2 linked regions of the Oryctolagus cuniculus genome follow. The protein of the gene in region 2 purifies or fractionates together with the protein of the main gene of each other region. This does not show direct contact. Links are inferred from orthologs where the notes say so. Each region holds a gene or a part of one and is shown on either strand. Other genes may lie near its edges. The genes, in order: FASLG and CASP10.

Region 1 (4,534 bases), on a different chromosome or scaffold from region 2:
CATGAAAATAAGTATCTTTTTTATAACTGGCATCTCTTATTAGTAAAGTTGTAAACTTGATAATTAGTAGTTGCTAATTTGATAATTCCCTAATTTCTGATCTGTCTGGGTTGATGCAGAGAAGATAAGAGTTTAGTGGGGTAGGTAGACCTGACTCATCTGTTCATTTAACTTTTAACCAATAAAACGCCTCCAGAGAGTGGGTGAGAGATGAGTAATGAGGTACCTGTTTCCCTAGCCACAGTCCCCTGATTTTCAAAGTGACATTAGAAGTCCTCCAGAGGCTGCGTTTTTCTAAAAAGTGTTTCCACTCTGTGCCCCTCCTGAGTTTCTACCACATCAGAACAAGGGGCCAGAGCATCTCAGTGATGGCTCCTACATGAGTTTATGCTCCAGGGAAGTCGCTGACCTGGGCCACCTGCAGTAGGCTATCCTGAGATTGAAACTGGCAGCACTTAATGGATGGCTAGCCCTGCCTGCTCTCTTCTTCCACATTTCTAAGGAAAAAAATTACCTACTGATTTTGCAGAAGTGTCCTGCTTTCCATTTCTTTCTCATCCCCTGGCAATTACAGTCAAGCAAGAGTTTCTGTCTTTCCATGAGGCACCAGTCCACATGCTAGAAAGTCCTGGAAGTGCCAAGGCAGCAGGAGCCTACATCCCTTCTAGCCCCAGCGCCACCCAGTAGTCATGGGCACATCACCCAATCTGTCTGATGTTTTGTTTCTCTTCTGAGAAATGAAATGGGTGGAACTGATGATCTTTAAGATCCCTCTCAGTTCTAACCAAGTTTAAAAAGTCAATTAATCTTGGTTTAATACAAATGGAGCAAATCCTAAAATATACTTGTCCACAGTGTCTAAATCTATGCTCTGAAATTTAATGAAGCCAGAATTCAACACTTTTACCTTTTTCTTGTACTGGATTTCATACAAAGGACTTTCCTTTATTGTCAAAAACATCTCATAGGTAAAGTGGAATAATCCTTTGAATATGGGTTAAATCTTCTCCCAGGCCTCCCCATGACTTCAAAGGAACCATGCTATGTGGGAAATTGTCCACTTATCAAAAGCTTAGCTAAATCTTGTACAATGTCTTAAATGAAGCTTGACTCTTGAGTGATCTCTTTTCTGGAGTTGAGAAGAGGAGAGGACATTTCCCAGAAGTTTCTCTCTTTGCCCATACCTAACTAGGACTCCTGAGGAAGGAGATGGGCCTGCAACCAGCTGCCCAAATGGCAGGGCTCCAGGATTATGTATGTGTGTCTCATCCCAAAGTCAAGTCAAAAGTATTTTGCATTGTGTGAAACACTCAGCTACACTGATTTTGAGCAGTGAAATTCACTTCATATTTTAAAAGATGCTCAAGAAACCACACTGACCAGGGGTTCAGAATTGTCCAAGACTCTTCTCATAATATTCACAAGCCCAGGAATGGGATAGGATTCAAGGTATCCCCCCAACAATGTTCAGTGCTAAGGATTATCTTTGGAAATTCAAATCACATGAATAAAAGGACTCACCTGTTTGCTTCTCCATAGATGATGATGCTGTGTGCCTTTGACTGAAGGACTACCGGAAGAAAGAGAAAAGATGTATGATAAATAGGAAGCTCTTTAATCAGTGGAGGAATTGCCAAATAAGCCAGCCCCCGAAAGAGATTCCAAACTCCTCAGAACCTTTCCTAACTCAGACTTTAGCCAAACAAGTTTGTCTCATTGTCCCTCAGTTTTGTCATTTGAAATGGTACCAGATTTTTTAAAATGTTTTCAAGGAAATTCAGTCTGGTCATTTGAATACATTCACTTCTAAGCAGACTCAAAGTTTTTTTTTTATTTCTTGAATCACTAGATCTGAGGTCAGTGGCTTCACAGACTGACATGACAACTGAAAAAGGCAAAACCATATGGCTCAAATTCTTTACAAGACAGAAAATACCTCTTCATTCATAGGACCCTCCATTTCTCTACCTATAGAATAGAACGACAAGAACAATCCCTTTCCAAGACAAACAGTAAAGCTTGAAAAGCACTTTGCAAGCAAGACAGTGGTCCGGGTAGACCCCAGGAGGCTCCATCCCACAGCAGCAGAGCCCTCCTCCCACCCCAGTGATTGCTGGACACAGCTTACCTCTCTGAGCTCGGCCAACTCCTTCTGCAGGTGGTAGAGCTGGAACATCCCCAGCCCCAATCCAACCAGGGCCACCAGGACCATGAAAAACATCAGAAGGAGGCAGAGGCCTGTGCTGTGGTCCTTCCTCTTCTTCAGGGGTGGTGGGGGCAGCGGGGGCAGTGGGGGCAGCGGGGGCAGTGGTGGTGGTGGTAGCGGTGGCGGCGGCGGTGGCAGTGGTGGTGGTGGCCTTCTTTGACCAGGCCTTTCAGGTACAGAGGATGGACAGGGGAGAACTGACCCTGGAGGGGCCCAGGGAGAGCTGGCAGTGCTGTCCACCCAGTAGATTTGGGGATATGGATAACTGAAGGGCTGCTGCATGGCAGCCAGGGACTCCCAAGGATTTTACTTCTCAGTCCTGTGGAGGCTGCAATGTCGAAGAAGGAACTCCTGCTGCTCACTGTTAAGAGAGGAACAGCCAGCTCTCGCTTTATAGAGTTTCCACACCAAGGGAAACACCAATCAATCTCTCTCTCTCTCTCATCTTCTCTTGCTAGTTCTCAGAGAGACACCCACTCACCTTATATCTGCAGCTGAGAAGCCTCAAGAAGCTCAGAGCCAACCCCTGGAAGTTTCCGCCCACAACTTTCTGATGAAAGCCCCCGGAGCCACAGCTGCCGTGGCTGCGCTACCTGAAAAGGCAGGGAGCCGTGACCGCCTTCCTCGGGCCTGCAGAGCAGGGCAGCACTGGGCGCAGTGCTGGCGCAGGGAGAGTGGCGCTGAGCGGGGAGACTGGAGTCACTTGCAAGAGGAAATCATCCCCCTCCCGCATCCCTTCCCCACACCAAGCACTGTTTACCCGAACCCTGCAAATCACCATAATTTACAGATTAGACCCTGCCCCGCCCACTCTAGAGATTAGATCAGATATGCTTTGTGGATCTCACAGCCTAGCTCTGTTTTTACTTCTTGATGATTTGTTTCTCATTTGTAAAATCAAGACAGTCCACATTAAAATACCTATTTTCATTCTGTTGTAAATATTTTTAAGGCCATCTCCACAAATTCAGTCAGCTGGAGGTGAGGAGCAAGTGTCCCCAGGAATGAGACACAGGTGACCAGGTAGCCCAACCTCCACCCCCAAGGTCCCTCCACCCTGTACTGTGTTTCCCACACCACCTCACCTGTGAAATGGCTTTCTGGCCCCTGTAGGCAGCCCTGTTCATAGCTGCTGTTATGTTTACTAGAATTGCTTGAATTTCAGATCAACAAATAAGCTTCAGGGTATGTATGTCCTAAACAATGCAAGAGTTGTACTAAAATGTTATTCATTGTTTATCTGAAATTCAAATTTTAAAGGGTGTCCTTTTTTTAACTTTGTTTTTTGCTAAAGATGGCAACTGTGCCTGGGCTATGACCTCACCCTTTCTTTTGGTCTCAAATACCATTAATATGCCAATAACTTCCAAGTACTCAGCCTCACTCTTAATCATTCTCCCATAAAAACTGTATAAAATTTCCACAAATCTTCAATTTCTGTTCTTTTGAAGATGTCTACTTTTCAGTTTCATTAGTTTCTACATCACACTGTGAGATTTCTGTGACTGTCGTTCTGGCTCTCTCACGTGGACCACGTCAATACCAAATGTACAAGGGGTTTTCAAGAAGTTCATGGAAAATGTGTACAATGAAAACTCTATTAATGAATTTCAAAATTGTATTGCATCAGAGAGTGGGGAAGGAGGGAGAGAGAGAGAGAGAAAGAGGAAGTTTTCATCTTCCAGATTCACTCCCAAGTGCCTACAATAGCTGGGACTGGGCATGGCTGAAGTCAGGAGTTGGGAACTCAATCCAAGTCTACCATATGGTGACAGGAACTGATGCAACAAGGACAGGAGCCTCAGCCACTTTAGGTTCTTGTTACCCTGTCTTCTTTCAAGAGAGGAGTTCAGTCTCCTTCCCTGTATTGTCCCCCCCCCCCCCCCCCCCCCCCGCATTCTTCCCCAGGTTTGGAAGCCAGTGGGCCAAACCTGAAGAACCAATAGGGAGAAACTCACCTCGGCCTACTGCCCCCAGCCCCACCCCAGCCCACCTAAGTTATAAACAGGCCCAGCCTGCTAGGGTCTGGGCTTCTGCCACGTGTTCCATCTGTGAGCTTGATGGCAGTTTGTCAACCTCTGTGAGTTTATTTTCTCTGAATAAATTTGGTCTGGCTGCGAGTTTGTACCCTGTCTCCTCTCTGTTCTGTGGCCCCCTTTTCCTTACATTTGGTGCCTTGTGTCAGGAGCCACCCATCTGCATTCTTTTCCTTACAGGAACCCACTCACTTGAGCCATCACTGCTACCTCTCAGGGACAGCATCAGCAGGCAGCTGCACTCAGGAGCTGGAGTCGAGTATTGGATCTGGTGGGGGACGTGAGTATCTAA
Region 2 (4,244 bases):
GGGCATTTGGGGAGTAAACCAGTGGATAGAAGATCTCTCTCTCTCTCTCTCTCTCTCTCTCTCTCTCCCCCTCCTACCCTCCCTCCCTCTGACTTTCAAATATCTGACTTTCAAATAAATAAATAAACAGACCTTTCACAGCCGAAACAAAGCCCAATGGCTAGACCGAACATGAGACAGAAACCCCTCCTCCCAGGCGGTCTTAGTCCCAGCTCACCTGAACAGGGGCACCTTCCTTCTCTCGGGCAGCAAACGCTCCACTTCCTCTTTGGTGTACCTGAGGTGCTGCAGCAGTTTGATCTGCTTGGTGATGTAGAGGAGTTCTGCCAGGACGAAAGGGTCCTCTTCTTGCAGCAGCTTGTACGTCAAGAGGAGTTCAAAAATATCCAAGGCGGAGCTACACTTCTCCAGCTTCTTTTTGGAGACCAAGTCCAGGCAAAGAAACTTCAGGCTCTCCACTTCCTGGCCCCCCAGGTGCGAATCGATCGTAAAAAGTATCCTACGAAAGTTTTCCTCATCTGAACTGGAACCCAAGCTTTGATCTCCAGATGCCATGGCTGGCCTGAAAGAGACAGAGACGGAGCAGGAGGTTCAGGAGTGAGGACACAGGGCACCCTGACTTCCTGGCCCCTCCCTCAATCCTGGCCGCTTCTGTTCCAGGCATTAGGCTTTCCCAGAAGTGCTGAGAAGGAAAACTCACTGTGAGGCTGCTTCAAGAACCAGCATCCCAGAAAACTGGCCCCTGGCACTTGCAAGTTCCCCTAGAAGGCTTACAGGGAGTTGTTATTTAGAACTCAATATACTCTGATTTCTTCTTTTTCAGTTTTATTTATTTATTTCAAGGCCAGAATTGAGAGAGAGAGAGAGAGAGAGAGAGAGAGAGAGAGAGAGAGAGAATGAATCTTCTATTCACTGGTTCACTCCCCTAGATGGCCATAATAGCCAGGACTGGGCTAGGCCAAAGCCAGGACCCAGGAGCTTCATCTGGGTCTCCCATGTGGGTACAGGAGCCCAAGCACTTGGGCCATCTTCCACTGTTTTCCCAGGCCATTCCCAGGGAGCTGGATTTAAAGTGGAGCAACTGGGACATGAACCAACACCCGTATGGGAGGCCCGCATTGCAGGCGGTGGCTTTAGCTGCTACACCACCAACACCAGCCCCCATACCCTGATTTTTTTTTTTTAATTTTTTGACAGGCAGAGTGGACAGTGAGAGAGAGAGAGACAGAGAGAAAGGTCTTCCTTTGCCATTGGTTCACCCTCCAATGGCCGCTGCGGCCAGCGCGCTGAGGCCAGCGCACCGCGCTGGTCCGAAGGCAGGAGCCAGGTGCTTCTCCTGGTCTCCCATGGGGTGCAGGGCCCAAGCACTTGGGCCATCCTCCACTGCACTCCCTGGCCACAGCAGAGAGCTGGCCTGGAAGAGGGGCAACCGGGACAGAATCCGGTGCCCCGACCGGGACTAGAACCTGGTGTGCCAGCACCGCAAGGTGGAGGATTAGCCTAGTGAGCCGCAGTGCCGGCCCTGATTTCTTTTAAATCAAAGTGTCCCCAGTGAGACATGGCCAAGGGCATCTCTCAGGCCTCCAGCCTCGTTGGAGCTCTTCACTTCAAAATTCATTTCCACAAAATGGCAGACACAGCCCAAAGGATCTGTGCTTTAAGCGTTAGACATAAAGCGAGTGCATGACAGTATTTGTTACAACCTAACTCCCGACTGCTAACTGTAACAGGACAGGCCTGTCTCATAGAAGAGGAAGCTGTAACCCTAAACCCCAAAAGGAAAAGCTGATTTTAGACCAGACCTGCTCGAATCAGTGTAGAAAGTTACACATTACCTAAGCAAGGTGTCTACCTGGCCAGTTTGTCAACTCTGGAGTTCTCTGTACTAAACTTCATTCTAAGCAGAGGAGCAACGCATTGATTAAGTTTCCACCACAGTAGTCATTCTGAAAGGATGGGGGCATCTATTCACCATGCCGGACTTGACTGCTTTCAGAAACAGAAAAAAAATACTTGCTAAGGGAAGGAGAGCAAAGCAAAACCCAAAACCTCAGCCACAAAAGGCGGTTATATGGAGGGACCCAGAGATAACAGAAACTTTCTAGGCTCCCACCTGACTTTCTCAAACTTCAGGCAATGCACATATATTACTTCTGTTGTTAAATAAAGCAAACACACACACACACACAGAGTCTCTTCCAGTGTGATCATCCTGGGAGTCCTCTCTTCTAACAGCCCTGAGGTGAGATGATTGGTTTCTGATAGCTGCCTTCCTCTCTCGGTCTTACCCGGTTGCTTTGCAGTTGCTTAAAGTTCCTGATCTCCAACTTTAGTGAATCTACGAGATTTTGTCCCTGCCTGTGGATCAACATATCCCTTCAGGTAAAGGGCTGGATTAGAAACTTCCTGGTGTTTTAGTTGATTTCAATGAACTTTCATTTTCCCTGCATGTCCGAGGACCCGGCGCCCAGATCGTGCCATTGCGGTCAAGAGTTTGGGCGAGTTGCTAAGGACAGGAGGCAAAGGGAAGTTCAGAGTGGGAGCCCCCAGTGCGGTGGGGTGGAGGTTTACATACCTGCTTCCGTTCAAGTTCCACTAATCCTCTGAAGGTCAGTGGTGCGCAGGGAAACAGCCTGAAAACGAAGCCGGCAAGAAGTCAGAATTCTCGGTGTGCTCCGTGGTCACCAGACGCCCCATCGGCGGGGGAAGAGATCCCGGCTGTGCCACTGAAGACTGAATCATTTGCACTGGGTAACTTGGTATGAATTTCCTGCTGATGTCATCACTGCCTCTCTGCTTTCTCCCCGCCCCCCGGGTTAAAATAACCCTGGCAAACAGCGCTCCCCTAAAGGCAGTCACCTGCCTTTCCCATTGTAAAGCTCGGGATGTTTCTCAAGAGGCCACTAAGTGCTGCCACCGCTGGGCGCCGCTGTGCCCAAAGAAGGGAACGTGTCACTATTTTTAACCCTTTCCTCCAAACTCATGTAACCCGTAAATCAAACCAAAAGGCTCATGAGATACTCTTCAGTCATCTTAATCCTCTCTGAAGTCTATGTGCAAATCAAGAAATAAAATTTCTGGGAGTGAGAATGGCAGACTCTAAGTCCACTTGGAGATATCTGCAAGGCAAACAAGTCTGGCAGGTGTCTGCTCTGCCAACACACTCAGTCCAGTGGAGAGAGAGGTTTGAAAGATATTATTTCTTTTTTTAAGATTTGTTTATTTATTTGAAAGGCAGAGCTAGAAAGAGAGAGATAGTCCATTGGCTGGGTCACTCCCCCAAGAGACTGCAGCGGCCAGAGCTGAGCCAGTAGCCAGTAGCCAGTAGCTTCAGCCCGGTCTCCCACATGAGTGACAGGAGCCCGAGCACCTGGGCCATCTTCTACTGCTTTCTCAAGTGCATTAGCAGGGAGCCGGGTCGGAAGTGGAGCAGCTGGGACTCAAACTGGTTCCCAAGTGGGATGTGGATGCTGCAGGTGGCACCACTTCTGATCCAGCTCCCGGCACCCACGTGGGAAACCCAGAAGAAGCTTCTGGTTCCTGGCTTCAGGTCAGCCCCATTCCTGCCATTACAGCCAAATGGGCAATGAACCAGTAGATGGAAGATCCGCCTCTGTAACTCTACCTTCCAATTAAAAAAAAAAATCTTAAAAAAATGCAGAGTTTTGGGAAGATGTACAGAATCTGTAAAAAGGTGTTTTATCTCTAGAAAGAAGCCTGGGAAATGATGCATTAATTAGTAAATATGTGAAAGCATCATTTCCATATCCACCATCCAGAAAACTACTATGTCTGAGAAAGACAAGTCCTGGGGCCGGCGTGTGGCCCATGGGGGTTAAGGCCCTGCATGAGACACTGATATCCCACATCCAGCGCCAGTTCAACTCCTGACTATTCTGCTTCTGACTCTGCTTCCTGCTAACGGCCTGGGAAGGCTGTAGAAGATGGCCCAAGTGCTTAGGACCCTGCACCTGAGTGGGAGACCAAGAGGTGGTTCCTGGCTGTTGTGGCCATTTAGAGTAAACCAGCAGGTGGAGAATCTCTCTCTCTCTGTCTCTGTCTCTCTCTCTTTCAAATGAACAAGTAAATAAAAAAAATTTTAAAAACAAATGTAGGCAGAAGAAAGGAAGGAATAAAGGAAGAAAGGATAAAAGGGAAGGAAAGAGAAGAGAGGAAACAAAAAGAAAAAAAGACAAGCCCAGAACAAGCATTTGGCCTAGCAGTTAGGAAAACTGTGTCCGTTA

The links.
Region 1: the proteins of CASP10 (region 2) and FASLG purify together in Homo sapiens (co-immunoprecipitation; 3 studies listed by BioGRID and IntAct, with this or other methods). This does not show direct contact. The link is inferred for Oryctolagus cuniculus from reciprocal best matches to the Homo sapiens genes CASP10 and FASLG.

The regions. Positions count from the first base shown.
Region 1 is NC_091438.1:1,340,067-1,344,600, reverse strand, and holds the start of FASLG (tumor necrosis factor ligand superfamily member 6), read right to left. Parts: upstream 2,896-4,534; 5' UTR 2,489-2,895; coding exon 2,129-2,488; intron 1,571-2,128; coding exon 1,522-1,570; intron 1-1,521. UniProt on the Homo sapiens protein: Cytokine that binds to TNFRSF6/FAS, a receptor that transduces the apoptotic signal into cells. Involved in cytotoxic T-cell-mediated apoptosis, natural killer cell-mediated apoptosis and in T-cell development.
Region 2 is NC_091434.1:38,828,760-38,833,003, forward strand, and holds the start of CASP10 (caspase-10), read right to left. Parts: upstream 2,883-4,244; 5' UTR 2,576-2,882; intron 563-2,575; 5' UTR 556-562; coding exon 218-555; intron 1-217. UniProt on the Homo sapiens protein: Involved in the activation cascade of caspases responsible for apoptosis execution. Recruited to both Fas- and TNFR-1 receptors in a FADD dependent manner. May participate in the granzyme B apoptotic pathways.